4 linked regions of the Tamandua tetradactyla genome follow. The protein of the gene in region 2 interacts with the protein of the main gene of each other region in a biochemical or structural test. Links are inferred from orthologs where the notes say so. Each region holds a gene or a part of one and is shown on either strand. Other genes may lie near its edges.

The links.
Region 1: the proteins of UBE2E3 (region 2) and RNF25 form a complex in vitro, tested with the Homo sapiens proteins (2 studies listed by BioGRID, with this or other methods). The link is inferred for Tamandua tetradactyla from reciprocal best matches to the Homo sapiens genes UBE2E3 and RNF25.
Region 3: the proteins of UBE2E3 (region 2) and RNF14 form a complex in vitro, tested with the Homo sapiens proteins (2 studies listed by BioGRID). The link is inferred for Tamandua tetradactyla from reciprocal best matches to the Homo sapiens genes UBE2E3 and RNF14.
Region 4: the proteins of UBE2E3 (region 2) and NEDD4L form a complex in vitro, tested with the Homo sapiens proteins (3 studies listed by BioGRID). The link is inferred for Tamandua tetradactyla from reciprocal best matches to the Homo sapiens genes UBE2E3 and NEDD4L.

What each region holds. Positions count from the first base shown.
Region 1 is NC_135329.1:194,206,894-194,213,899, forward strand, and holds the start of RNF25 (E3 ubiquitin-protein ligase RNF25), read right to left. Parts: upstream 3,011-7,006; 5' UTR 2,903-3,010; coding exon 2,862-2,902; intron 526-2,861; coding exon 451-525; intron 196-450; coding exon 93-195; intron 2-92; coding exon 1-1. Other genes in the region: STK36 (serine/threonine-protein kinase 36), read left to right, coding at 3,859-3,942, 4,692-4,832, 4,945-5,022, 6,101-6,231, 6,453-6,702. UniProt on the Homo sapiens protein: E3 ubiquitin-protein ligase that plays a key role in the RNF14-RNF25 translation quality control pathway, a pathway that takes place when a ribosome has stalled during translation, and which promotes ubiquitination and degradation of translation factors on stalled ribosomes.
Region 2 is NC_135329.1:153,626,178-153,633,540, reverse strand, and holds the start of UBE2E3 (ubiquitin-conjugating enzyme E2 E3), read right to left. Parts: upstream 3,005-7,363; 5' UTR 2,632-3,004; intron 2,374-2,631; exon of another isoform or gene 2,233-2,373; intron 2,195-2,232; exon of another isoform or gene 2,046-2,194; intron 1,602-2,045; 5' UTR 1,577-1,601; coding exon 1,383-1,576; intron 1-1,382. UniProt on the Homo sapiens protein: Accepts ubiquitin from the E1 complex and catalyzes its covalent attachment to other proteins. In vitro catalyzes 'Lys-11'- and 'Lys-48'-, as well as 'Lys-63'-linked polyubiquitination.
Region 3 is NC_135346.1:22,075,375-22,082,233, reverse strand, and holds the start of RNF14 (E3 ubiquitin-protein ligase RNF14), read right to left. Parts: upstream 3,015-6,859; 5' UTR 2,901-3,014; exon of another isoform or gene 2,835-2,900; intron 2,807-2,834; exon of another isoform or gene 2,449-2,806; intron 1-2,448. UniProt on the Homo sapiens protein: E3 ubiquitin-protein ligase that plays a key role in the RNF14-RNF25 translation quality control pathway, a pathway that takes place when a ribosome has stalled during translation, and which promotes ubiquitination and degradation of translation factors on stalled ribosomes.
Region 4 is NC_135344.1:24,078,147-24,086,059, forward strand, and holds the start of NEDD4L (E3 ubiquitin-protein ligase NEDD4-like), read right to left. Parts: upstream 3,009-7,913; 5' UTR 2,429-3,008; coding exon 1,247-2,428; intron 1-1,246. UniProt on the Homo sapiens protein: E3 ubiquitin-protein ligase that mediates the polyubiquitination of lysine and cysteine residues on target proteins and is thereby implicated in the regulation of various signaling pathways including autophagy, innate immunity or DNA repair.

The sequences.
Region 1 (7,006 bases), about 41 Mb from region 2:
ACTAGTGGATGAAGATAACAAGTTATTGCTGAAATGCTCCACTTATGGTCTCTCCCCTTCTTCCCTTTGCTGTCACAAAGGAGGGGTCTTACCTGTGTTGGGACCTGAAGCACTAGAGTGAAGCAAACATACTGGGAGTCTTGGTCCTCTGCAGTGGCAGGGTGCAGGGTTATACAGATCTCCCATGGTGAAGATCTGTAGGTAGATGAAGTGGAGACCTGGGATGTGACCAGGCAGGGGCTCAAGGGCTAGGAAGGATGGGAGTGATTCAGTAAAGGGGCAGAAGAAGCAAGCACTGGCTCACCTTTGGGAAAATTAAAGGAACAACTTTTGTCTACATGAGAAACATCTCTGAATCAAGGCTCACTGTGTCTTAAGGCCAGACTCTCTATATGGAATTCTCACCTCATTACTAAGAGGGCTCCTGCCCACCCCTGGTTGAATACGTACCTGCCATTTCCTTTAACCACCTGTAGTTCATCCAGATAGATAGACTCTAACACTTCAACTTCAGAGAGAAGGACCCTAGAGAGACAGGGGGAGACTGGCTTAACACTACAGCTCTCCCTGCTGAAGCCTGCTAAGGCCAATAAAGGCTGGCTTTATAGAAAAAAGTGGCAATCCATTATATGCACTCCCTTGCTATTTTTTAAAGATAAAAATAAAGGAAATAAGCTGCCTTAAGTTGTCAAGGTGCAAGGTAGGAAGCATGGAAATCAGAAGCTGTGAGATCACTTCTAAGACCAATGAAGGCTGGCTTTATAGGAAAAAATGACAATCCGTTATATGTATTCCCTTGCTATTTTTTAAGGATAAAAATAAAGGAAATAAGCTGCATTAAGTTGTCAAGATGCAAGGTAGGAAGCATGGAAATCAGAATCTGTGAGATCATTTCTGCCAACAGTTGAGGCACAGAGGTTTAATACCTCAATCTCAAGCCTTAATAGAAGACTAACTGGGACCAATGCAAGGTTTTTTGACTGCCCATTTAAGTTTCTTTCCAGTGCTGGTTGTTCCTTAGCAGCCACCTCTCTGACCCAGAAACATGATGTCCATTCACAGCATCAAAGTAATCAATGCTACTCCTGGTTTTTCGCACGCCACTATTGAACACAGATCTCAGACAGTGCCCAAGCGCCTTCTCAAAGGAGATACCAATCTGAACAGGACCGTAGGTTTAGGTAGTATAAAGGCTATGTTGTAGTGGAAAAGTTATTAATAAGACTTGGGGTCAGTCATAGCTACAGATCACTCAGCTACATGATCTAGGTAGTTATTTATCTCTGTACACCGAGTTGCTCTGTTTACCTCATATGGATAATAACACCCAATCCTTAGGGTTACTGTTAGGATTGAAGGTGATTTGTGTATGCAAAGTGTCTAATAGAATCTGGGCCACAGAGTCTATGTCCTCTTTTTTTCCATTTCCCTTCTTTTTAAGGTGGAAGGATGTAGTCAGCAGAGAACTCTAGATATATTTATGACACTGGCTAGAAATAAGACGATATATATTTAATCTCAGAAACTGCAGAGTTATACAGCAACACTGAAGATGAGTGGTTGAAGTCCAGAGCTCTACCCAGGTAATACATGGAAAGATGCATGCATTTGTTTGCTTTTTCTTAAGTTATACTGTTTCCTCCTTACCAACAGCAGGACTGCTGTAATACGGCCTATATTTTAGTGGTCCTCAAGACTTTCTTTCCCAGTCTTAGGTGGAAATCCCAAAATATAAAATAGGTTAACAGTGGAGTTTTTTGGTTGACATGGGAATGGGAAGCTCAGAGCACCACAGGTTAGCTTCTATAGCTACTGCTGCCCTCTACATGGCTTCAGGTGTCTCCTCAGAGTCTTAATGTTCCAATGAACAATTTGAAAACCACTAACCCAGATAGTGTCAACAAAGGCCAGCAGTGACTGGGTTCCCTGAACCAATGAAATGCTGAGCTATGTAGTCTCATTCTGTGCACCCTTCAATACTTCACCCACCCTAGCTTTGACTTGAGCCGTGGATGGCCTGTATGGAGCAGGACTGTGAAATGCCCTAGTATTGTAAGATTTGTAGTCAGAAAAACCTGCATCCCTAGCTGTAAATATGTACATTTTGCAAATCACTTCATCTCTTATCTAATCTCCTCAGCTGCTTTACCTCAGAGTTATTAGTGAAAAGGAAGCATATGTATGTTACAAACCCATACTAATTCTCTCAAGGATTCTATGCAGTAGAGGCCACACCCACTTCTTTTTATAGCTGAAGATACTGACTCACAGAAGCTAGGTGATCAGCATTACAAAGCTAATAAAATGTGTAATAAACCCACACTGATCCTCCTTCCAAATTCAAGAGTCCTTCCAGGTTCTAGTCTCTTGTTAGGAATGCTTGCGATAAGGACTAGGAAAGATTGTGTAAGGTGTAAAGCTTTATTCAGACATACTCCTCATTAGTGCTGTAGGGGAAGGAGAGGTTAAGAAAGGCCTCGGCGGATATAAGCTGATCCAAAGGGAAGTGATACACGAGCCGTAGGGCACTGGCTCCCAGAGGTACAAGGGAGGTGCTGGGGAGTCTGATGAGCAGGCATCCCATGGACCCCTGAGCAAATGCAGTTCAAAAGGATGGACAGAATGGAGCCGGAAGGAAGAAGAAATCGAATCAGATGAGACCCGGCCCAGACCCAGTTTCCTCTTACCATGACCCATGCCCTCCACCCACCCGCTCCCCAGTCCAGACGCTCTCTTAGGGTGAGATGTCAGCTTCTGTGCTATCTCTCAGCCCTCGTTCTACTTCAGCAGCCCGCCGTAAGAACCCTCCGCGGCCACCGCTAAACCAGGCAGTCAGCCAATGCCCATTTCCCCAAAGTTACCAGTCCTCCTCCCCCGCAGCTGCCGACTCAGACACCGCCATATCTCCTCCAGTCCGCAGCCGGAACCGGAAATGTTCTTGGGGAGGTCGGGAGGCAGAAAGCTAAAGGGGGGGGGCGGGGACTAGAGACTTGAGAGGAGAACGTCTAGCGGCGTTTCTAGGCAACCGTAGACTCCGGGTCCTTAGTGGGGCCTGATGACCAAGAGAGATTCGGAAGTGCCCTAGGAAGTGCCTATGGGTAGGTCACTGTCTCGCCCATACCTCTGAACGCCGTGTCTTCCGAGACTCTATCTAGTGCTAGTGAGTAAAATTGCCAAGAGTGAGCGTCTAAAGAAACCGGCAGTGAGGGTGGAAAAGGATTATAAATCAGGCAAAGTACGTCGGCAGCTAGAGGGGGCGGGGCTGGAGGCCAGAGCTGGCGTCCCTCGGCTTAAGGGGCTTGAAGCTCCTGGGCTGGGGGTAAGAAAGGAGATTTCTTCTGCGCTGTGTGCGGGCATGGGGTTAGGAAGGGGGTGTTGGGGAGTTTGTGAGTGGCATGGAACCTAAGGGAGGTTGGGAGGGGATGGGAGTTGACTGCGGAGGGTCTAGTGGCGAGGCTGTGTCGAGTAGGGAGGGGTCAGGAGGTCGCGGTTTGGGACGGGTGGAGAGATCGGGTAGCCCAGCGTGGGTGGAAGGTTTGGTGGGCGTGGCTGGGTCGAGTGGGGCGGGGTCTGATGATCTCTGGAATAGGTGAGGGAGGGGCAAGGAGGCCTAAAAGATGGAGATCTAGGAGATGGTCCATTTGTCTTAAGACCTTGTCCTTCATCTTTCTGTCCATTCCACCCTCCCATGTATTTGAGGGCTGTATTATTGTGAAAGAGGAAAAGGCAGGACGGCTGAAGTTAACCCTTCTCCCATATCCCAGCTAGGCCTCGCAGATGTGTGGAACTGTTCCTGCAGCTGTGGTCTTTCACCACCATCTCTGCCTCCTTCCTTCTGAGGGATCCTGAAACCTTGTTATGGAGAAGTACCATGTGTTGGAGATGATTGGAGAAGGCTCTTTTGGGAGGGTGTACAAGGGTCGAAGAAAATACAGTGCTCAGGTGGTGAACCAAGAGGGATATCTTTTGGGTGGGATTCCTACCCCCAGACTCCAAGAGAGGGAGGATCAGTGGGGAAAAAAAGACCAGAAGAGAAGTATTCATACTGACCCATCTTCCTAAGGCATTGACTCATTTTGCGAGTCAATAGACTCTGCGTTTAGATTGTCTGGGTTCAGATCCCCACACCACCACATTCTAGCATTTGAACTGTGGACAAGTTATTTAATCTCTATTTCCTTACCTATAAAATGGGGATAAGAATCGTATGTAATTTATGGGGTTTAGAGATTAAACGTGATAAATCTCACTAAATCACTTAGTACGGTGCCTGACAACTAGTAAACAGATAAATATTAGTTATTATTATCTATAATGATAATAGATATTAGTATTATAGTAAATAATAATAAATATTATTATTACTTTCTATCATGCAGTAAGAGAGAGATAAACCACCCAAATTCTTCTTCCTCCCTCATTTTCATGCTTCCTTTTCTCCTAAATCCTATGAATGTTGAGTTTTTTTCCCAAATGAGAACATTTCTCCCAAAATCCACTTTCTTCCTAGGTTTGTCCTAAAGTAAGCAAAGGGATCTGCGTGACAGGCAGTTTCCTCCTGGGGTGAGGGGTGGAGGAAGACTGGGTAAGACTAGGGAACCTTGAGTTCTAGAGCTTCAAGGTTAATGCTGAAGTTCTGGTTCTTTTCAATAGTGTGGTTAGGTCTTGACTCTTCACCTTACCACTGACAGGTGGTGGCCCTGAAGTTCATTCCAAAATTAGGGCGTTCAGAGAAGGAGCTGAGGAACTTACAACGAGAAATTGAAATCATGCGGGGTCTGCAGCATCCTAACATTGTGCACATGCTTGACAGCTTTGAGACTGACAAAGAGGTGCGCTTTGATGGTTTTGGGTCACTTCTCCCCACCACAAGGGAATCAAGAATTTTCCACCCTCAGGATGCATGAATCTGGAGCCATCAGCACCATTGCCTTCTCCTTGCAGGTGGTGGTGGTGACAGATTATGCTGAGGGAGAGCTCTTTCAAATTCTGGAAGATGACGGGAAACTTCCTGAAGATCAGGTATGTTACCTGACTCAAACTTCTCTCTGCCCTAGCCTCTGTCCAGGTTAAAGACTGGTAGAGAAAGCTGAGGGCATTTGGTGGCTCTCCATTTTGAATACTCCTGAGAAGAATGCAATAATCTAGTTATATATAAAGTATGTGAACACTGGAGCCAAAATGTCTGGATTTAAAACCTGGTTCTGCCACTTCTTGATTGGGTCTTCTTGGACGAATTACTTAATCTCGTTGAGCTTTCATTTCCTCATTTGTAAAATGGTAATAATAATAGTGTTGTGAGATTGAATTAACTCAGGTAAAGTGTTTAAAACGGTATTTGACACATAGTATTCAACATAGGTAGCTAGTGTTAATGTTGTCATCATCATCGTTTCTCAACTTTAGGAAAGAAGGACCAGTGTGGTGGTGCCATAGAGGACACTACAGTAAGGAACAAGGGTTGTAATTAGACAGGATTCACCACTAGAATGTAGTGGTTGATGGTGGGATTTGGTTGAACACGTTCTCTAACCACTTTCACTGTAAGGGTTTCTCTATACTCTAGCAAGTAGGCACGCTTCTGTGCACAGCACTCTATTTCCTTCCAAGTGCTCATCAATGTTTGAGGTCCTCTTTCATTTTGTGTTTACCTGTTTGACTACCTCTTTTGAAAGTGGGAACTTTATTTTACTTAATAACAGCTGATATGTGTTGAGTGCTTACTAAATGCCAGGCACCATCCCCAGCATTACTTTCCATTACATGCATTAATTCATTTACCCCTCACAATAATCTCATGAGATGGGTGGTATCATTATTTTCACTGTAAGAATGAAGAATCTTAGAGGAATGAAACAATGTGCCTGTGGCCTTACAGCTAGTGATGACATTCAATAAATTTTCCTTGAATGAATGAATGAACAAATGAAGCAATGAATGAACAAGAAGAGCAAGAACTAAGGAATGTATAGTATGAAGCTCTGGAAGAAAGGAGAGGAGGAAAAGATCACATGAGTAGTCAAATTAGGGAGGATTCTTTGGGTTCTACAATAGGCTTATTCCTCCTGCCTCTCTTCCTGCCTGACTGCTTGGTCCCTAGGTCCAGGCCATTGCTGCCCAGTTGGTGTCAGCCCTGTACTATCTGCACTCCCACCGCATCTTGCATCGAGACATGAAGCCTCAGAACATCCTCCTTGCCAAGGGTGGTGGCATCAAGCTCTGTGACTTTGGGTGGGTATTCTAAATTTCTATCTATGCTTCCAGCTCTGCAAGGAGTCTTAGACCATGTTCTTGACTTAGTTAGGTCTCCTTTTAGAATCTGAGCTAGAGATTGGTATTCCTGCTGGGTCTTTTGGGACTTAATCTGCTTAGTTTGGGGATATTTCACACAATGATAGGTGGTCAGTGAGCAGGTCTGGTTTTATTGGTCTAGATTTTATTATCTCTTTCAGATTTGCCCGGGCTATGAGCACCAACACAATGGTGCTAACTTCCATCAAAGGCACGCCACTCTATATGTCTCCAGAGCTGGTGGAGGAGCGACCATATGACCACACAGCAGACCTTTGGTCCGTGGGCTGCATACTGTATGAGCTGGCTGTAGGCACCCCTCCCTTCTATACCACAAGCATCTTTGAGTTGGTCAGCCTCATTCTCAAGGACCCTGTGCGCTGGCCTTCCACTATTAGTCCCTGCTTCAAGGTATGAGTATAAGAAGGGCATTGCTTTTGCATTGGAAACCTGTCTCCTTTATCCCTCCTTTTCTCTTTCCAGAGCAATGCAGTAACTGCAGTTACTGAATTACTGCAGGAGTTAGGCCAAGCAGCCTTGCTTTTCTGCAGTAGGGGCTTGTTCTTGAAGGGTGCTCTGAGGTCTGCCACATTTGGGAACAGCAGTCCTTTTGGGGCCAAGCTATACATTTAACATAATGAAAGGTAATTTTAAGACATCAGACACAAGATACCTTTCACATGATTTTTATTCCAATTATTTCCTACCAGGAGCA
Region 2 (7,363 bases):
GAGGTAAGAATTAACATGCTATTTTAAGAACATGGAAGTAGTTTTGATGATATTTTATCTGCTAAAAAAAGTTTAAAATTTACAAATATTTTCATCAGTGAAAAACTTCCAAAGGGCTCTTTAGCAATCTTATTTAATTGCATGTTTCCCTAATCTTAAAAAAGTGCTGAAATTTAAAATATTTCAAGGAAAATAAGTTATACTATGTAGCCTTGAATTAAGGAGATAAAAAGCAGTTCTCTCATTTTATTCAAATTTTACATGCTTTCAAAACAAGATTTGTTTAACATGTTCAACAAGACTACAATTGAATTCTTCAAAGTCTGCTATCATCTAATAAAAGAATTCTTGTTATTAATACCTGATTGATAGAAGATAGTAAAAATCTACAGAAAAGAGTATTTCTGAATCACTACAGAATGAAATATTTGATCAGTTTTTCTATTTTCTTTGCACTTTAGTTGTGATCAACAAAATGTCAAAATAGCTAATGCTATAGATACATCTGATGTATCTCTGTACACATATTTACTAAAATTCCTGGGTATTCAATTACCATCACTAATGGAATCCCATTAACAAAATATTTTTTTGTCCATCACAGATAATATCAATCAACATGAACAAATGACCTCTCACTTGGAACCAACAAAATGCTTCTCCTGCTGCTGAGCATTAACGTGTCAAGCATATCTATACACTTTAGAGTAACCAGTCAAAAGGATGATGAAAATCTGGCTATTGAAAACTTCCACTGTTAGCCAAGTGACACCTAAAATTGTAAATGGCTGCTTTTCAAGTTTTACTTGTCCTCACAAGAACAGAGGGACAATCATAACTTGACTATAAAAAGTAATATCTGGGATGCATAGTTTAAAATCTGGTTTATAAAACTTAAGACAGATCTGTAGGACAATTTTAAATCCGCTTTAGCACACAGCCAAGGCCTTGAATGTAAAAGTTTTTTAGCAGATGTGATAATTCTGAGCACTTAAGTTCATGCTGATTTTTAGTGTCCATTTCATGACAAGTATGACTCACAAAAACGAAACACTCCCAGTGCACCATCTAATTTGGGTTCACCAAATTAACCTTCACAAATTCTTTAAAAAGTCTGTCAGGATGTTCATCCAAGCTCTACTAAGAAACACTGTCTGAAGTTACCAAAATGCAGACCAAGTTTGCTTAAGAAGTACAATTTGAGGGAGGTAGTTTATATACCACCTAAAGTATAGGTGGCTCATTCAAGTGTCAAGTGCAAATAAAACTGATCATGAAGTAAATGTTTTTGAACTACTGCTGCTGATGTAAAAACCAATGGAAGTGTCCAATCATTTGGAAGACAACCTGACAATGTGCTTAATTCTTCTTTTACACATTACCTTTTAGCACTAGTGGATAACTTAGCAGTGGTTTTGCTAGAGAGTTTGGTGTTTTTCTTCTGCTGAGTAGCAGAAGGTTTTCTTTCTTCTTGTTCTTCAGGCTCTGGAGCGGCTGGATCTCGCTGGTCCGCATCTGAACTACCACTGCTGGTGCTGGGACTCTCATCATCGGACCTTTGCCTGTCACTGGACATCTTGGTGAAGTTATTTCTTGGAAAACTTTTAAGGAGAGAGAGAGAAAAAAAGGGGAAATGTTAAGTCTAAGAATAAACCACTAGCATTTTCTTTTCTTAATATTCACCTAAAATAGTAACTTAATGAAAAAAGCTTCAAAAATGTTCACACATCTCATCGTACAGCAAGGTTACAGGGGAATTGGTATGTCTCACAACGCCAGCGTTCAAGGATTTTTTACCGAACTCAAGTTGAAAAACCCACTCACATTTTTTTCCATCCCTTGGACAATTTATCAATTGTCTACTTTCTCAGAAGGCATGAAACAGATTTGCCAGGGAACTTAGGCAACGAGCATTAATAACACATGACACACTGTAAATAACAGATCGCGCTGAAAAATGTTAAAAAGTCACTAATAACGTCTAAATATTTACACAGTGATATTGGTCAAAGCTACCAAATTCCCTTTCTGAAAGGAAAACATACCCTGTTAATCGCCCATATGCTTATTTAACGTGGCGATTCCTCTTGTGTGTGTGTAAGCCTTTAATCACAACACTTAGAAATTTAAAAATCAACTAACAAGCTACTCTAGCCGTTTCCACGGCCAGCAGCAAAGATTCATCCGGCCAAAACCGAGCTGACACCCTGGGAAAAGCAGAATCCAAACCACCTTCTGCAAAGCTCCCAATGCCACCACGGTACCTCGCTCAATTTTTACATCACGGACGGACATTTTGTCCAAAATAGCGAGAGAAAAAAATCTGAAGAAAACAAACAAACAAAGCCCCAAGAAGTGCAACAAATTTCCGCGCCCGCGGAGGCGAGCCGCGGCCGGTGGCGGCGGCCACGCAGCTCCGCGGCCCTTTGTGGGGAGGGCCGCGCGGGGGCCGCGGGCAGCGCTCGCCGCGCCGGGCGCCAAGTGATGCGAGCAGCCGGCCGTCCCCGCCGCGGCTCGCGGACACCGGCGGCGCGGGCGCCCGGCGCGAACAAAGCTGCCCGCCCCCGCCCCCTCCCCCACCGCCGCCGCCCCGGCCGCCCCGCACGCGGCCCCCGGGCCCCCACGCCTTACCTCGGCCGCCCGCCCGGCCCGCTCGCGCGCCGCTACGGTGTGGGGGAGGGAGAGAGAAAAAAACCCTTCCTTAAGGAAATGGAGGCAGCCGAGGGGGGGGGGAAAGGGGGGAGGGAAAAAAAGAAGCCGAGGAGGCTCTGGCCGGGGAGTGTGGAACATTGAAAGTCGGAGGGGGTTGTGCAGTGCCGGGCTCCGGCCGGAGGGTGGCGCCGCCCAGCGCCTTCGGGGAAAAAAAAGGGGAGGGGGGGTGTTGGGAGCTCCGCGGGGCGAGGGCGCGAGCTCCCGACGAGGCGGAGGGGACGCGGGAGACCCCCGCGCGCTGTGGCCTCCCGCCGCAGCCGCCCGGCTCAGCTCCTCCCGGCGGCGCAGTCAGCAAGTTCCGAGCCGAGCAGGGGGGAGGGGCGGCGGCGGCGCGCGTGCTCGCTGCTTGCCTGGCGGAGGAGCGCGCGCCCCCGGCGCCCCACGGGCGCGAGCTGCTCCTGCGCGCTCCCGCGCCTTCTCTCGCGCCTCACTTCACCCGGGGGGCGCACGCGTCCGCCCGCGCGCGGCCAGGACAAAGAGCGCGGCGGGGACCCGGCGGGTTGGCCCCTGTCGGCAGAGTCCGCTGAGTCCGCGCCAGAGAGGGCGGGGGCGCGGGCGCCGTCTCGCGGGGCCGCTGAGCCGCGGGGTGGCTTCCGGCCTGCGCCTGCCTCCGGGGCGAGGCTGCCCATTGGGCTACCCGGGGCGAGGGTACCTTAGGGGCGGGAAAGCCGTGGTCATCCCTAGGCTGGATCTGTCTCCTCTGCCTGCTCAGGGGCCGACGTGGACCCTTGGGCCCCAACCCCTGTGCAAGGGCCCTAGACGCGTGGCAGGGAGTCCCCTGCCGCCCCCCTCAGCACTGGAAGACTCCGGGTGGTGGTGATGAGGCCTGGGACAGGCAGAAGATAGCTGCCTTCTCTCCCTCGTTAGGGGCAGGGGCAGGATGGGATCGGGGACGTTAGTGGGGAAGAAAGTATTGCGAGACTGGGGGACCAGCCTCTGCTTCTCTTTGACCCCCAAGCCCGCAGTTGTCGCACTCAAAGGAAACTGACCTTCGGATGCTTTGAAAAGTTAAAAATTCAAAACAGTTTTCAGATATCCTGCTCAACATTTTAGAAAGGTGGGGAGGAGAGTTTGAGGGCTCAAACCTGACACTTTGCTGCTAAGCTGTTCTGACTTGCATACCAGAGACCAGTTCTGGAAACAGACTGGATCAGAATGTCCACACTGAGAGAAGTAGTGGGAATAGTAGAGTCTAGTTTTATTCTACACTTCTGTCTTACAGAGTCTCCAGGTGGACTTTTCTGTTTTTACCCTAAGCACAAACTAGCCAAAAGTACAAAAACTTCCTGTTTGCAGCCCAGACCTCCTCTAGCTACTGAGAACTTGTTCCAGTGATGGAGCCCTAAAGGAATTTGCGGATTCCTCTCCCACAAGTTTCCAGGGGCCCGAGTGCTGGGAGAATGTGGAGTTCACAGAGAGAATGGCAGTCATAGCAGAAGAACAGGAATTAGAAGGAAAAGAAACGAAAAAAAAAAGACTGCATGAGCCAACATTTTTACTCATTTTTCTTCTAAATAGAAAAGTTTTGATAAAGGGATACTTACAACTCTGACCTGTAAAGTTACATTTCTGTAATTTTCCAAAGACACAGTCATTCCATGAACTTTGTTGAGGGATTTGTACCAGGTGCTGGACATACCAAATACACTCACTTATTTTGTGTGGGATTAAAGCCAGATTCCTCTCCTCTGTGCTAGTTCTCAATTCAGAAGAGGAATGGATTATTAAAACTTACTAGGTTATTAAGAAGGAAAGATATTCCTATTCCAGTTAGGATGAGCAACAGGTCTCAAGAAAGAACATGGCGTGTGTATGGACGAGCATTTCAATTCGGCTGGATCGAAGGGTGCAATTTATTAATGAAAATATAGACAGAAGGTTGCCCCCAACTTTTACCCTATGTGACTCTATAGCATAAGCCAGCCCATTTGGCATTTGGGCTTTGCTCTGTTCAGAATGGAGAGATGTTAAAGGAAAATTATATGTTAAAAATTGGTTCTTTCAGGAAATTTACTATTACAGAAATAGCTTTCAAGCCAAAGGGCCAATTGCTGATCGGATTTGGGTGGGGCAGGGAGATCGGGAGATAAAGATGTTTAGCTGTGTTTGGTGGCATCTTTTACAGAAGAAATAATATTGGGCTCCAAGCAAAGGAACCGGATTCTAATCCTTAATAGTTTGTGTGACCTCAAGCAAGTTACTTGTTCCAATTTACTTTTTCTCATATATAAAAGAAGATTGTATCAAAGGTTCTAAGTCCACTTTTGCTGGAAAATGCCATAATTCTTCAGTCAGTTTGGACTCATGATGAAAGTTCCACTCAACATTTATTCAACTACTAAATGATGGGAAAATGGAATGAAATATGGAATCCACCATAGTGGATATTGATATTGATAAATGGTGCCCAATTGCCTTCATTGCCCTAACAGGGTAAATTCAAGTGGTTCTTTACAAATCACAGCACTACTCCAAGGTAGCATGACATCACCACCTTGACCAGAAGCATCTCATCAATTAGAAGTAGTTTCTAAAGTGATCTTCTTCCTCAAAGGACACCCTGTTCTGTAATTATTTTAGCTCTCTCTTGTTTTTGCAGTGTCAATCCTTAAAATTGGGGATCATGATTATACGCATTCCTGAGGGCATACAAATTTGACCTAATGCAAATTATTTCATAAAGCATATAATTAAAAATTTCTCATAAGGTCCTCAAAATAGCCAGACAATGTGGATACCAGCCACACAAGAAAGTTGTTTTTTCTCAGTCTCCTGTGTTGGAATGGAATCTTGCCAGTCTCTCCATCACAAACCTGAAAAGAGGGGCAGAGGTAACAGACAATACTAACAGATATTGCCACAACTACCTACTCTCCCTTTTCCCACCGAATGTGTAACCAAAGGCACCTGTCCTTATTATAAAGGTAGGCTGGGTTCTGGACAAGGCAGACTCCAGAATCCTTTAGGAGTTTAGGAGATGCTTTCTCCTGAGACTTTCAGTAGATCTCGGAGTTTTACATACATTGAAGCATGTATATGTGTGTCTACAGAAAATATACAGAAATACATAATTTGAGTTGTCTAAGAAGTTTCTCAACTAAGTGACTGTGTAAGCTAGGATGGAGCTACAGATCTTTTTAAAATCGCTTGCCATGGGCAGCAACAGACCTTACACAATGAATGTGGAATAAATATTATTTTTTAAATTTCAGAATGTTTTTATTTATTCCTGCCACTCAGTAACTTTCCTTAATATCCTTTTATATTACCCCCTTCTTTTTTTAGGCCATTTCCGTTGCTTCCCTAGTACTTGTATTCTTTTGTCCTCTGACTGCAACATTTTTCTTTCTACACATAAAAACTGGGTTGGTTTACTAGAAAGGCAGTTCTTGGCCCAGTCTTAGTTTAAAAAGCCATTTTTGCCAATGTTTGTCTCAGTGTCTCTGGACACCAGAGTTCAAAGTGCGGCTTGACATCTAGTATTCCTTTACTGTGTCATGTGTGGAAAGCCTGTCACATGCCAGGCATTGGGCTGAGCCCTGGAGTTATACAGATGCATAAGCCTCAGTTTGACTTCTTGGATTCAGTTATCATTTTCTGCTTTTCTCCTGAGGGAGGGTAGATACCAAAAAGGGGTCATATCTTCATTCCATATAGAACTTGATACACTGAAACAAAAACAAGAGCACCTTAATAGGGAAAAAGGCATGAACAGAAAAATTTCAAAAAGAGATGCATTTATTTAACATTGTAAAAAAAATTCAGCCTTACATATTATCAGAGAATGTAAATTAAAATGACGTACTTAACAAAACAGCAAAAACAATTTCTAATGATCGTAATAATTGCTGGCAAAAAATAGCCCTTGTCCAACCCTCTTGAAAAGCAATTTGGAAATTTTTGCCAAGAGCCTTAAACTTTAACCAAGTTATTCCATTACTAGAAATGTATCTGAATGTGAAAAAAATAACATTGAAAATCTGTAAATGTCCCTCTATAGGAAAAGGATTAAACAAACAGATTCACCCACGCAATAAAATTTGCAATTAAGGAAATAATACATATGAGAAGCATGCAATAGTCATAAAAAATGGACTATAACACGTCAGTGAGAGTAGAATTTGTGCATTTTCATTATTGTAAAGTCAGATGCTGGCTCAATGAATTTGGCACAAAGTAAGTGCTCGATAAATATTTATTGAGTGAATAAACACTATATCGTTAAAATTAGCAAAACAAAAAATGTCTGAAAGGAAAATATTCCAAAATGATAACTATGCTTATATTTTAGAGGGACCATGAATAACCTTTTTTTTCTTTTTATATTCAGTATTTTCATATTTTTCATTAATGAGCAGGTTCTGTTTTGATAACACAGAAAAAAATATGTGAATAAATGTAGAGATGTAGATTTGGTAAAAACAAATCGTTTTTTTTTTTTAAGATTTTTAAAATTTTATTAGAATAAATATGATTGAGTTCTTAAAATCAATAGAGAGAGTTTGTGATAGCCTATGCTAAAAAGCAGCAGAAAAAAAGCCATAGAAGAAAACATGTATTTAACCAGGTACAAAAATCGGCTATGCTTCCCAACATTCGTACACACACACACCCTAAGTTGGAACACACACTAGACAAAACTGTTTGTACA
Region 3 (6,859 bases), on a different chromosome or scaffold from region 2:
CAAAGTTTACTATTATTTTAGGTAACACAACGAATGAAAATATACAATTAAAGTGTGAGTCAATGCTTTTTTATCACAGTGACTGAAAGATGCGGCAACAATTTCAGAGAATTTAAACATGAAAAAATATGCAATGATAATCTATGAAAATTACTTTAACAAAAAAAGAATTACCATTCTGTCAATTAAAATATTGGATTATAATTGCATTTGCAAATATGCTGCTTCCTAACTAAAATATTTTTAAAACTTGAAATATACAGAACTGAACAATTAGGACATGATTTTTCACATTATAAAAGGTGCCAATTCATTTAAACAAATTCATTTTAAATTATTCCATTTTCAAAAAATAAATGTTCCCAAGCCGATGAAATGGTTCTGCTTAAGCTGCTTCCCTATCTAAGGCACAGTGACATGTTCTATTTGTACCTGTTCATGATGATCAGAAGAAAAGAATATTAACACTGAGGTCTATATTTCAGTTCAGGGTGTTTGGAATTCATGCAAATCCCATTTATTCTCCAGCCAGTAGAGATGAAATTGCTAAAGCTGGATAAGAGACCAAGAGGTGGGACTCATACTAGACACACTACAGAAATCCTGTCCTCTGCAGAAAGGATGTTATGACCCTCTCCAAATTTAAACTGTGAATTACCAATATCACTACTTAAGTATTATACATCCTACCACATACTTGAGCCTAATCTACAGCTACATACTACTCCCCTAGAACAGCCTGTGCACAGCCAGCATTTGCAGGTCTCTAGCAATGACAGAGGCCTTATCTGACAGCCCTCAGTGCTGGGAGGAGCTGAGGAGAAACCCCAAGGTCATAGGAGAAGATAGGATGCCATGTCTCTTGACAAACATCTTCTTGGGTGGGGAGGTTGATTCTTTTTTCTTTTCTCCCTTCCTCTTCTGTTTCTTCTATTCCTTAATTTCCCATCTACCTCCAGTTTTTCCTCTCTCCTGCTCAATCCTGCCAGTGACACTCAAAGTAAGGTTAACTTAAGCATGACAGCAGGATAATTTTAAAAAACAAAACAATACAACAAACACAAACAGTTTTATTTAAACGCTTTAAAGCCAGGGTTCTTAACCGGGAGGGTGGGGGAGTGGGATCCACAGATGGACTATGGAGAGTCCTATGAACACCCTGAAATATATGAAGCCATAAATTTTAAACAGATTCTCAGATGTGTGATTTCCAAATAAGCTAAGAATCAGATTCTGAATCAATTTACATTTATTGAGCACCCAATATATAGTGTATTAGGTCTTTCACATTATCTTATTTAAACTTATTTACCAGGAAGTAGAACATGGTGATAATGCGATTAAGTTATTTGTTTTTTCCTACTAAAACATTTACAAATAATGTGAGAGATGAATTTAGTTTTTTGGTTTTAGGTTAGTGTTCTCCATCTTATCTGCACATTAGAATCTCGTGAGGAGCTTCTCTGAAGAATCCCAATACCTAGGCCATACCCCAGACCAATTAAACAGAATCTCTGGGAGTGGCTCCAGACATGAGTAGCTTTCCAAGCTCTCCAGGTGACTCCAGTAAGCAGTTAAGGTAGAGAACCTCTGCTCCAAGCACTGTTTCCCTTTGATAGCTCACCACCTATACCACCAGACCTCATTTTCCCAAGCTGCCACCCAGGACCCCTTAATTCAGGGCTCTGACCTTCATTTTCTTCTACCTGATTCTCTCCACTTAGCCTTCAAGGCCCACCTCCAAAGCTTCTCTTCCATGTCATTTTTTCCCAATTGGACATCACGTTTTTCTTTAAAATCCAAACTTTTTTACTGTTACTTTCCTAAGACATTGACACATTCGAACCTGCATTACAGTAGTTTTAAGAACTGGCACTTCCTCTCGCGCCTTAGTTGCTCAAGGAGGACCAAGTCTTTTCTATCTGTGTATTAATTTCAGTATCCAGCAGTGTCCTGCATTAAGACACTGGGAAAAAATTGCACTGGAATGAAATGCAGTGTGCTGGAATGGGGGAACAGATATATAGGCTCAGTCATCACTCTGCCACATCCCTCTATAAGCTGGAGGTGGGTCACAATTAACAGTGATATTTAGTGGTTTGTGTCAGGCACATGGTGTTCAACCCTTTAAAATGCATAAATCCGTGCATTTAACTCATGCCACCACCTGAAGCAACTCTATTCTTAAATCCATAACAAGTAATGGAAAAATATCAGTTTAGGTTCCCTTGTGGCCCAAGGTCACACATGCAACAAAACTAAGTATGGAGTCAAACCACGCTGTTTCTTCATCTATAAGACCGCAATGAGAATAAAACCCGGCGGCATTAGCTCATTCAAATTTAATATTCGTTTTGACAAATGGGAAACCACACCAGTGTGGGAAGCCCCTCTTGGCCGGGTCCCCTTTCGGCGTGGGAAAATACTACTCATACTGCGAGGCCACACCTCGCGGACTCCAGCCCGGGGTGGGCCCTCGCCCGGATCAGCACGCCGCCGCCCGGGTCTCCACTAGCGCGCCGGCCGCCAGGCGTGCTGAGTCGTTGTTTGTGCGACTCAAACTACACCCTGAGGCAGGCCTCAACCTCGTTGTCCGCCTCAGCGCTTGGCACACAGAGGGCGCTGTGCAGGCACGCCGGCCGTGGGCTCGCCTGGGTGTCCCGAAAGGGCAGGGACTGGATCTTTCCCTTCCTGCTCCGTGAGCGCCCCGGAGAGTCTGAGCCGCTGCGGGAAGAGGGAGCCCGTCCCGGGTTTGGGGGGCCGAGGCCCACCGGGCAGTCCCGGCCCGGCCGCCCTTCCTGCCTCGCGCGCCCGGAGCGCGGTCCCCACCGTACCTTCCGGCCGCCTCGCCGTGCCGGGTCCAAGAGTTCCGTTCCCCACCCTAGCCCGGGCCCCCTCACCACCACTCGCCGGCCCGGCCTAGCGACGCCCGCCTCAACCCGCGCGCCGCCTCTTCCGCCGTCGGAGCTGTCAGCTGGGTCGGGCGGAGCCGACTGAGGCCGTGCAAACTGAGGCGGTAGCCGGCGTGAGGAGATGGCTCCGCGCAGCCGCCGTGATCGCCCCGGGCCCTCCGGCGCCCCTCGCAGGCCGGAGGCGGTGCTGCAGGCGCGACCACCCTCGCCCCACCACCGCCCTGCAAATTTTAATATGCTTTTAGAGAAGTTGATAAAAATGCAGATTCTGTTCTATAACTACTCTTCGAAGTGTACTTTGAAAAGCATTGCTTTTTCTTTCTCTTCTTTGTATATGTGTTATATTTAACGTTTAAAAACTGCATATTCTGGGACCTCACGCTCAGAGGATTTCTTTCAGTAAATCTGAAATGGAGACCTGGAATTCCAGATGGTTGTTTTTTTTAACCAATTCCTAGAGGTCACCATGAGGCCAGCGGTCAGTTGAGGATGCGGACTGGGACTGGTAGGGAAGTTCTGCTGCCTGTGGAAAAAATACCCCTACCTTGACTACTTTCTCAGAAAAGCTAAACTTTTCCTGGCACTGCACATGAAAGCATTAATTCAGCTCATATTTTGACAATGAGCAATTAGGGTGATTTAAACACTGTGCAAAATGCTGTGGGTACATTTTCTTCATCTTTAGTATAACCGTATAATTAGGAACTATTTGCTATTTTCACTTTACGAATAAGACTTAGAGAATTTTTTTTTTAATTACCGAAGATCGCCTGATTATAGAGAGGCTGAGAGGGCATTAAAATTCTATGCCCTTAAAAAATAAAATACAAAGACAAAAATAAAATGAAATAAAATTCTATGCCCTCTGCTTCACACCATATAAAAAAAATTAGCTAAAAATAGACCAAAAAACCTAAATATAAAAGCTAAAAAACTTCAAAACTTATAGAAGAAAACATAGGAGTAAATTTTCTTTCCCTTGGATTAGGCAACAGTTTCTTAGATATTACACTGATGAAAGCATAGCAATAAAAGAAAAAAAATAGATAAATTGTGTGTCCTCAAAATTAAAAGCTGTGCCGCAAAGGACACTATCAAGAAAAAGATAACCTACAGAATGGGAGAAAATATTTTCAAATCATATATCTGATAAGGAATAGAAAATTCTTGCAACCTAGCAATAAGACAGCCCAATTTAAAAATGAGTTAAGAATCTGAATAGACATTTCTCTAAAGAAGGTAGATAAATAGTCAATGAACACATTAAAAGAGTCTCAACATCATTAGTCATCAGAAAAATTCAAATCAAATCGCAACGAGAAACCACTTCACACTAGGATGGCCATCATAATAAAAATCTTTTCAAAAGGAAAGTAAGTGTTGGCAAGGATGTCAAGATATTGGAAACTTCATAAATTGCAGGTGAGAATGTAAAATAATGCAGTCACTGTGGAAAATAGTTTAACAGTTCCTCAAAAAGTTAAACAGAATTATCATATGACACAGAAATTCCACACCCAGATATCTCTCCAAAAGAATTGAAAAGATATGTTCACACACAAAACTTCTGTATGAATATTCATAGCAGCATTACTTATAATAGCAAAAAAGTGGAAAAAAGTCCAAATATGCAGCTAATAAATGGATAAAACAATTGTTACGTATCCAATCAATGGAATATTCTTCAACCACAAAAAAAGGAATGAAGTACTGATAAGTGTTACAACATGGATGAACTTCAAAAGCATTTGACTAAGTGAAAGAAGTCATTCACAAAAAGTCACACATTGTATGATTCCATATGAAATGTTCAGAATATACAAATCTATAGAGACAGAAAGAAGATAGGTGGCTATCAGGAGTTGGGGGAGAAAGGAATGGGAGGTACCTGCTAATGGGCACTGAATTTCTTTTGGGGATCAATATACTTTGTGAATATATCATAGTCTACTGAATTACATATTTTTAAAGGATAAGTTTTATGGTATGTAAATTATATCTCAGATTTTAAAATCAGATGCAAAGCATTGTTCTCAGCACTTACATGGGACATGGGGATGCTGGCTTCTGCTCCTCCGAAACCATGAGTCTAATTTGCTCTTAATGACCTAATAAGCTCCTGCTTATTATCATATACTTCTTCCCTGCCTCCCCTCTCCCCCCCAAAAAAAAGGAACTTACAGAGCTGGAACTTTAGCCCAAGCCTATGGGATTCTAAAGCTTCTGTTGTTCATTACCACTGCCTCCTGCAGGGTCGCTTCATGGGCCAGTGTCCTCTGCAGTTGCCCAGGACTCTGTAGGTAAAAGGTCCTCATGGCCATTGATTGTATACTTTGGATGGATTGTATGGTGTGTGAGTATATCTCAACAAAATTGCATTACAAAAGCCGGGGTGTGGAGCACTCATGTGTAGAAGGATCTTGCACTTGTACTTAACATACTGCTGTCACCACCACCTTGAAATTCTTAATAATTTTTGAATTATTATAATTCTTTGATTCTTACGACTTTGAGGCTCCACATTTTCATTTTGCACTGGGCATTGCAAATTATGTAGACAGTCCTGTTTCCAGGAGAGAGGGGAAGGAAATGAAAGAAGGTCAATCAAGGTGCCTGTGGAAGGGATGTGGGTCTCACTTGGCTGCCGTAGACAGAAAACTTTTGAAATGCAAATAATCCCTCCTTAAAAAAAAATCACTCCTAAATTTTCTGTACTGTAGATATTATCACATAACAAGAAACCAACTACCCCAGTAATAGGTACCCAAACCAGAAACATATGCCTTATAGATGGAAAGGAAGGAATAAGAGTCTCCAAAGCCATTTGCTAATATCAGTATTCAAGTTTAACCAAAGGAAATAAAACCAAGAGCAAAATGCATGACAACCCTACCTCAGAGTGCTCAGGTCAGAACAAGAATCCTGCTGGATCACTGCCCTCCCCTTCTCTCTACATGGGACATAACTCCCAGGCGTGTGGACCTTCCTGGCAACGTGGGACAGAAATCCTAGAATGAGCTGGGACTCAGCGTCAAGGGATTAAGAAAACCTTCTCGACCAAAATGGGGAAGAGAGAAATGAGACAAAATAAACTGTCAATGGCTGAGAGATTCCAGAGTCGGGAGGTTATCCTGGAGGTTATTCTTACACATTATATAGATATCACCTTTTTAGTTAAGGTATATTGGAGAGGCTGGAGGGAAGTGCCTGAATAAGTAGAGCTGTGTTCCAGGAGCCATGTTTCTTGATGACCATTGGATAATGATATAGCTTTCCCAATGTGGCTGTGTGATTGTGAAAACCTTGTGTCTGATGCTCCTTTTATCTACAGTATGGACAGATGAGTAAAACATATGGATTAAAAATAAATAAATAATGGGGTAAGAAATGTTAAAATAAATTGAGTAGATTGAAATGCTAGTGATCAATGAAAGGGAGTGGTCAGGGGTATAGAAAAAATAGGAGAAATAAAGGCTAAAATATACTGGGTAGATGGAAATACTAGCAATCAATGAGAGGGAGAGGTAAGGGGGATGGTATGTATGAGTTTTTCTCTTTTTTCTTTCCATTTCTTTTTCTGAATTAATACAAGTGTTCTAAGAAATCATCATGGTGATGATATTATGAGTTTTTTGTTATATACCAAGAATGGAATGATCATATGGTAAGAATGTTCATGTTTGTATGTTCTTATGTTTAAAAAATATTAAACATTTTTTTAAATACAAAAAAAGAGAGAGAGAGAATCCTGCTGGAGATCTCTCAGATGCAAAAATGAGAGGCTCCTCGAACCAGGTAAGGGAAATTCTCACAAAGTTGGAGCAGGAAGTGAATTGTGACATCATTTCATGACCTTATATCAGAGGTCAGGGGATAGGGGGACTAGAAGAGAAAATTTCAGAGCAGTGTTAATAATTTAGATAATGTTTACAGTGGGCTAAAGACAT
Region 4 (7,913 bases), on a different chromosome or scaffold from region 2:
AGCTGTGATAAAGTTCACTCGAATGGCAAAAAAACATTTCTGAACACAAAGCAGTGAAAGATGATACAATTCTAGAATAACAGCCACCCACTTTGAAAACTGGCAATTCACAAGAGAAATCCAAGCAGAAAAGAAAGTCCCCTAGATATTTCATAATCATATCTTCAGACTGATAATCACATGACATTCAGGGGTAAAGATTCAATTCAATATACAAAGAGCTTGTTCTTTAAGAAAGCACTCAATGGCTAGTGACTCCTAGTAAAAGAAACCTGATTTAAACTTTCCATCTCACTATAAACTACACAAGTGCAAAGTCATCACATGCCTGGAGTCAGCAGCTATCTTTCGGTACTCCATTTCACTGAAAGGAAGAGAATAAGAACACACAAGTAGGAAAGTCCAAAATCTGTCTAGGGAGTCTGTTTCCACAGCTGGAGACAGGGCACTTACTAATCTATATACAGCATCCCTGGCTTAGAGACTCAAGTGGGCAGAGTTAAGTTCCACAGGCATGCAACCAGGTCATTAACGGGGCCCTATCACCGTTCGCCTTTTCCTGGGTTCATAAGTCCACCTACTTCAAAAACACACTTCTCACTGTCCAACAAGTGCGACTACCCTTGTTTAGCATTACTTCATGGGACCAGAAACAAAGAAAATGAATTACATAAGAAAAACTAACACCACTACCCCCACCCTGCCCCTGCAAAACAAAAAGTCCTTTAGGAAGACCCAAACTTTGAGCACACTATTTTAATTAGGAGACTAAACCCAAGTATTGTGCTATATCCACTACCTTTATTAGAACTATTTGTAAAGGACATGTTGTCCTAGGCTATCTTGGCAAGCAACTTTTAAAATGTGTTTCCAACATGAACATGTTGAGGCACTGGCTTGCGTTTTGGCAGATGAATTCAAAGTAATAAATTCTTAAAATTTTTTTATCCGGAAGGAAAAAAAAAAAAGGGTGTTTTGTTTGAATTTTCAAAACAGAGCTCTTGACTTTGAAGGCGTACACAAACAAGATTTTCTGAAATGCTCACTGGTTTCATGGATCTCTACCAACCAATGGAGCACAAATCATCGTCACGGAATGCAGCCAGCCATTAAGCTACAGTGGACCAAGGTGGGGAACTCCCCAAGCTGAGGACGAAGTTTATTTTAATTACACTGCGGAATAAGCTTTCTGGGTATGAATCAGCCCCTGCTGACCTACTCTCCCATGTAAACACAGCTCACTTACCGTGGCGCTTGCTACTGTCAAGCCAGGACTTTTGGCATTATCCTCCTCAGGATTCTGGAGAGTTTCTTCTGGCCCCCGAGTTACAAGAATTCTGAAATGCTGTTGCCCTGCATTTTGATCTTGCCTGATCTTAAACATACACCCTTGACCCTGTGGAGTCCTCTCTATGGAATTCGTCCTGTGGATTTCTGGAGTCATCCTGCTGCCGCGAGACATCTCGGAACGCCCCTGGTCATCTGTGGGGCTCACTCGTTCAGTTCGGGGCTGGGTGGGGTATGACGTGCTCCTCTCCAGCCGAATACGAGGGTACCTCACCAACCGATTGCCCTTCGTGCCAGTGAAACCAAAGTTGCAGTCACCACCCAGACCCAGACCACCCTGCTGGGACTGCTGCAACTGGAACACAAAGCACCGCTTCCCAGGACTACCAGAAACATCTGGAACGTGCTGCAGGGACCAGCGCCTCGGCTCAGGTACAGAGGGGCTGCTCTGTCCTTCGGACCCCAACGGCATCAGCCTCACCTGGCGCGTGTCTGCACTGGAAGCACGGTGCTGGATCCTGACCCCACCAAGGTTCAGCCCTGCAGGAGCTCCACTGCCTTCCACCCCTGGGGTGGCTGAGGGCATGGCATCCTCTTGGAGCTCTGCAGGAACTGCACAGAGCACTCGGTGGCCACAAGGACCAGTTCCATTGACCTGTTGTTCAGAGTCCCTGGATATCCTTGGAGGAGAACTCTCCGGGGTCTCTCTCTCTGAGGTTTCCTGGGAGCTGCTTTGAGACGATCTTCTCACTGGGGTGGTAAAATCCTCCCTGAAGTCCGAAAGTGTGCACAGAAGCCCGCCCTCAAGTGAGTCCGGCGGCACGCAGTCGTCGGTGTGTCCGTTCACAGCTTTGCGCTGCAGGGAGATCTGGACGGACGAGCTCCTGGTTGGACGTGCATCGATACTATTCGGCAGCTGAGGGATAAACATGGACGTACTCCGCTTGAGCGATCCCACTCCTTCTCCCAGGCCACCACCACACTCCCCTCCATTTTGGGAGAACGGGTGGGGGCTGCTTCTCCGTGGTAGAGTGTGGAATGCCATGAAGAAGTCATCGTCTCTCTCCTGGTCTAGGATCTCTGATTCGGGGGCTGTGTTGCTCCGACCAGAGCCAAAATGAAACCGAAGCCGATGGGCCATGGTGAACGGGGGGCAGGGAGGGAGAGGGAGAGCAGCAGCCACAACCCCAGCACTGCCAGACGTCAAAAACCAGAGACATCAACTCCAAGAAAAAGTGTCCCATCTGCCAAACTGTTAGCACCGCAGAACCAATAGCGGCAGATAGCAGAAATAACCCAAGTGGCCAGCGGCATTCCAGGCAGGATTGGATAAGAGCAAAAAGCTCTCATCGGCGCTGTGACAGAGGGTAGGGTGGCTGCAACCACATGACGGCCTTCTCGCCCTCCAATGCCAGCTTGTGGACTTAGTGGAGTTTTCCCCCTTCTCGCTATGATTTTTTTTAAACAAGAGCCTGAAACAGCACCTTCCCAGCTGCTGCTTTTCCATCAGAAAGGAGTGGCCCCAGCAGGGAGCTCTCGCAGCTGACTAAGGCAGCAAACACAGTCTGAGCCACGAGGCTATAAATCTGAACCACATCACATTCACAGGACGTTTCTTTTCAACTAAGCAGAGCACTCAGACTTTCTCCAGCGAATGCGAGGGACCTGGCATTAAACACACAAGCTCATATGTGGTCGTCCCCACTCCACCCCCACCATCTCCCACCAAACCTCCCTGTAAAAAAAACATGAAAAAAAATCAGGCGAAGCAAGAAAACGCACAAATATTGGATGTTAAATTTCTCTGTTATTTATAATATCATCATGTTAATATGATGGAACATAAAACAAAACATACTATAAATAAGATTACACACCCACTGAATTAGTGTCCCTTTAACACTAAATAATTAGACCATGACCCATCTACAGGAGGAGGGGCATGACTTCCAGCACTGGCAGTTGGCATGGCCCCCTCTGCTTCTACACTAACATTTTTCATTTAAAAGATATGTGTGCTTATCTTACCTATAAGATGGTCAGCACGGCAGCACCAGAGAAAAGGAAACCCAGCTGGAGAAAACACTGCCTCCCAATTGAGAGAGAGAAAACCAAAAATAAAAAGGGGGGGGGGGGGGGAGACTAAAGAGAAGTGTGCATGCAGCTTTTGTTTTAATTTAAGTTAAATACCATATAGAAGAAATGATGCCTGGAGCCGAATGCCTTCCAGAAGAGTTAGAATTAGCAATATTACCAGAGTTGCAATACTAATACAGAATTTTGCTATGTTTGCAAAGGGCTAAAAGGGACATAAGAACTAAAAGTAAAAGTGGACATTCAAAAAACTGTCACAGACTTTGTAGTTAACTTGGAAATGCTCTATGTGTTTCAAACTTACTGTTTTCCGTAATCCAGTAAGTGGGTTATTTAACAAAGAGGTTTATTTAGGAGGGGCAGAATACCAAGCTGCAACGAGTGACAAAACGTTTATTTTAAAATCTGCAAAGCATGACTTTGTCAACAGTTCTGGAGGCAAGGGTGTGGATGATTAACCCCATATTTACACACGTCCAAACCTGATTGCTAAAGATATGTGTTTTAAATGCCAAAAATGACCTTTAGGAGAGAAATGGAAGCCAGTTTGTTTAATGTTGAAACTGCCAAGTATCAGGACAGTCACGTATTGTCTTAAATGGATTAACAGCCAACAAAGACACACACACACCCCCCACCAGCACTCATTGCATAGTAACAGCACTGTAGACGGCTTAGGGAAGAGTTAGGTGTTAAATATTGTAAAATACAAATTTTCAGATAAAGCTTGTGCTTACACAGGATTTCTTAAAGATTTGTACTCAAAGCCCTTTTTGGTTTGGAAGTATAGTTTAGAACTCATGACAAGGTCAGCTCACCAACCACATTATTTTAGATAATAGAAATGGGAAATAATTTTTTTATAGAAGAAATCTGAATAATGGATTAAAACATCTGAAAAGAAGCAATTTTTCCTGAAATTTGACTCTTTCTTCACCTTGAAGAAGTGTTACTGTACCGAATAAACCTGAGAGTAAGGATTAGTCTTTGGGTGAATCTACATCTCCTGTGACTTATTTTTGTTCCCCTGAGCACTGACTCAAAGTCTTCACTGACTTGGACAGTCGGAGGTCTAAGAAAGAGGCCCAGCACACTCTCCTACTCAATTTAACAAGAATGGGAAGTGATTTAGTTCCTCAGTACTATTAAATATCACCCAAGGTACTAAGTATTGAATTCAATGCAAATCCACCAAGGAATCCACACATATTTTTAAAGGAAAGATATCAGAATGGCAGGTCGGAATGTGTCTACTTTGGAGAATATTATCACGTGCAGAAAGAAGATCAAACACACCCTAACGAAGGTGAAAGGCCTGGCTCTTCACCACCCCTGGGCTGAGAAATGGGCAACCAGCAGGCTCAGCCTCAGTGCGACCACTACTAGTTTCACTGACCGCCCAGTTTAAATGGTGTAAAGCTCCAGACCTCAGCTGTCTCACCTGCAACGACAGGGAGTCGAGCAAGTTGTTTTATAACACTGCTCCAGACCAAATATTTCATTAAAATAAAGCCACTCAAAAATCTGGTGTTTCAGTTAAATTCTGCCAAAAGGAAGGCTTATACGAACATTCCCCTAACCAGATAAGACACATAAGTTTCAGGGAAGGTATACTGATGGACCTGCGTTATAACACCACTTCTGAGAGTAAAAAATACTCTCAGGACAATGCTCAGTTTTACCATCAAAACACTTGGCTCATGGGAATCTGATGTGTATATTGTAGTTAAAGAAAACAAAACTTTCCTTAAAATCTTACCTTAAGCCAAATTTGCTTTCTAAAATTTCTATTCCAAAATGTTAATGTATATTGGTTATATGCTTCAGAAATATCTTTGGTTCTTTAAAAATACTTTCTAAGAGTCTCCCTTGAGACAGTACCATGTTTTAAAATACAGTTTAAATTTTTCTGCTAAATACAGATTCACTTTTTTGCTCTACACTGTTAATTGGATTTTTGTTTCTCCAAAGAGACCCACCTTAGAACCTCTTGAATAGGTTACAGTGTTACATTTTGGCCTGAATTTTAAAACCCTGAATGGTTTGCTTACAGGTACAGATGGCCTCTTTTCAGATCCCTGTACTCTTCTGGTGTCCCCACATTTCAGCACAAAAAATGGCCTGATGCCAGCACTGAAGACTTTCATTAATACTTACTGTGATAAAAACACATAAACTTTCTACCCTAGCAATAAGAAAATATTTGTTGGAATTATGAACTTTAAACAAAGGTGGGGCAAAAATAATCTTCTGTTTGGGCATATATACTTTCGTAAGTGCAACATAAATACAGTCTCAAAGATGTAACGCTCAAAATTCAGCTTTTAAAAACTTAAGCAAAATACAAAAGCAGTAAGTCACTTACCAATCTGTTTTCGTCAAATACTTCAAACAGGAGTCTGTGATTAGATGGATTTACCTATGAGGGACATAAACAGTATTTCAAAGATGAATAAAAATCATTCCAAAGATGAAATAAGGGATAGTAATAGAATGATATTTGAAAATGCTTCAGTTCAATTGTGTAATGGGAATACTCTTCTGGAATCCCATGTCTACTAAATCAAATTTTCCATTGTTCCTGTCTATACTTTTCTGCCCCTAATATTTAGGCACATCAGAAGAAAAGGCTCCAGGTTGTTCTTCTAACCAACCTAAGAAGGGGTAATCCCGAAGAGCTTTAAAGAGTTCCTAAAATTCCTGTGCAAAAGGCATCCCCACACCTGTGGACCAAGGCCACTCCCTCACAAAAGTCTACACAGAAATCTCTAAGGCCTAAGAACAATAATTATAGTGATGACAATAAAAATAATGAAAAAAAAAATAGTAGCAGTAGCTTATTGTGTGCTTCTTAGGCACTACTGCCTTGTGACATATCAAAGGTACTTTATCTCATCTAATCCTCACAATCCCAGGATGTGTAACTATCACATGGTCCTGGGCCCATGAGAGGGAAGCAGATCCCACTGCCTGCAGGCAGACAAACCAGGAGCTGAACCAAGTCTCACCTGCTTGTTTTCAGAGAGAGCCCAGACAAAGAAACAAAGGGAAAAAAGATATTCCCACTTTCAGTAACACAGGGCCACCATCGTCGCTACTGGGCTTCCCATGGCTTTTTGTTTCTCCCTTTGCCTTACCAAAGCCTCAGCCAAGTGACCCTTATCACCATTTGGACCCCAGTATAACTGACCAAGCACCAACCACAGATGAGGCATGGTGCCAGGTATTCTCATTTACACCATCCCACGGAAATCCTGGAAACACCGATGGAGTAAGCATGGTCTCTCCTGTGCGAGAGAGGAAGAACCAAGAGAGGAGAAAGAATGTCTCTCTCTACCCCAGCCAGTCAGCCTCTCCTGGGGAATTCACTGAAACCTACCTGGAGTTCCCAATTTGGGGCCCATCCTATGGAATGTGGACTTGCTGATTCCTATTGTCATGGGAGCCAATTCCCATAATAAATCTCATGTTATATACATACATGTTTATTTTAAAAAAAAAGAACTGAGATAGTTCTTTCCTAAGTTACTAAGGCTGTGAAGGGCAGTGCTGGAGACGCCGCCCAGGTGTTCCGTTACCAGGTTTCAGCTGCTTCCTGGGGAAACGCAATGCAGCACATCTGAGTCACAGCCTGCGTGTGCTTGGGTCCCCGAGGCTGCCTTAACCTAGTGACAGGGCAAGCAGGTGGACAGGCTGTCCCGCATCCACTTATAACCCTGTGAAGGTGGTGCTGCTGGCCGGTGAGTGCCTCCACCGGCCGGAGGACAACAGAGGTCCTCAAGAAACATTTGAGGAATGAATAAAACAAAACCTTTTTTTTAATACCCAAGATTAGCTGAAAAAAAATTCAGATGTACTAAAATTTAAATAAATGTGAGTGCAGTGTCAAACAAAAAGGTGTGTAAATAATTTGGGGTTTTACGAATGGAAAGCTACATTTGAGAGTTAACTAAGGTCCAAAGACATCTATCTCCCCCATTAGCTTTTCGGTCTTTCACAGAGTAATTTAAAATACATCTTGTAGAGACTGTACGTAGGAGTTCACCAAGTATTAAAATATCAGTGCCAAAGAGAAAAAAAGCATAAAAAATGTAATAAAATTAAATAAATAAAAATAAAATATCAGTGCCATTTTTCATTAGCTCTGAACCTAATACAAAACAGATGTGTAGAATAATCCAAGTCTGAGCACATAAAATATTATTATGATTGAAAGAAAAAAGTCAGGGCCAATCTTAAATGGACTGAATGGCAATACTGCTCTGTGGGAATCTGCACTGTTCAGAAGACCTATTCTGGAGCATTTCTAGAGGTAAAGCAAGTCTTAATATCACAGTTACATAGACATTTGAAATATCTTTTCATTTTAAAGAGAAATCTTTCCAATTAATTAGCTAAGCAGTTTAATATTTCCAAATTTTCAGTTCCAATTCCCACCCTCAAAATACAGCCACAACCACAAAAACTCACTAAGCTGAAATCTCATAATTAACTCACAAAATTCTACATATAGTTATTCCAGAAGTTAAACT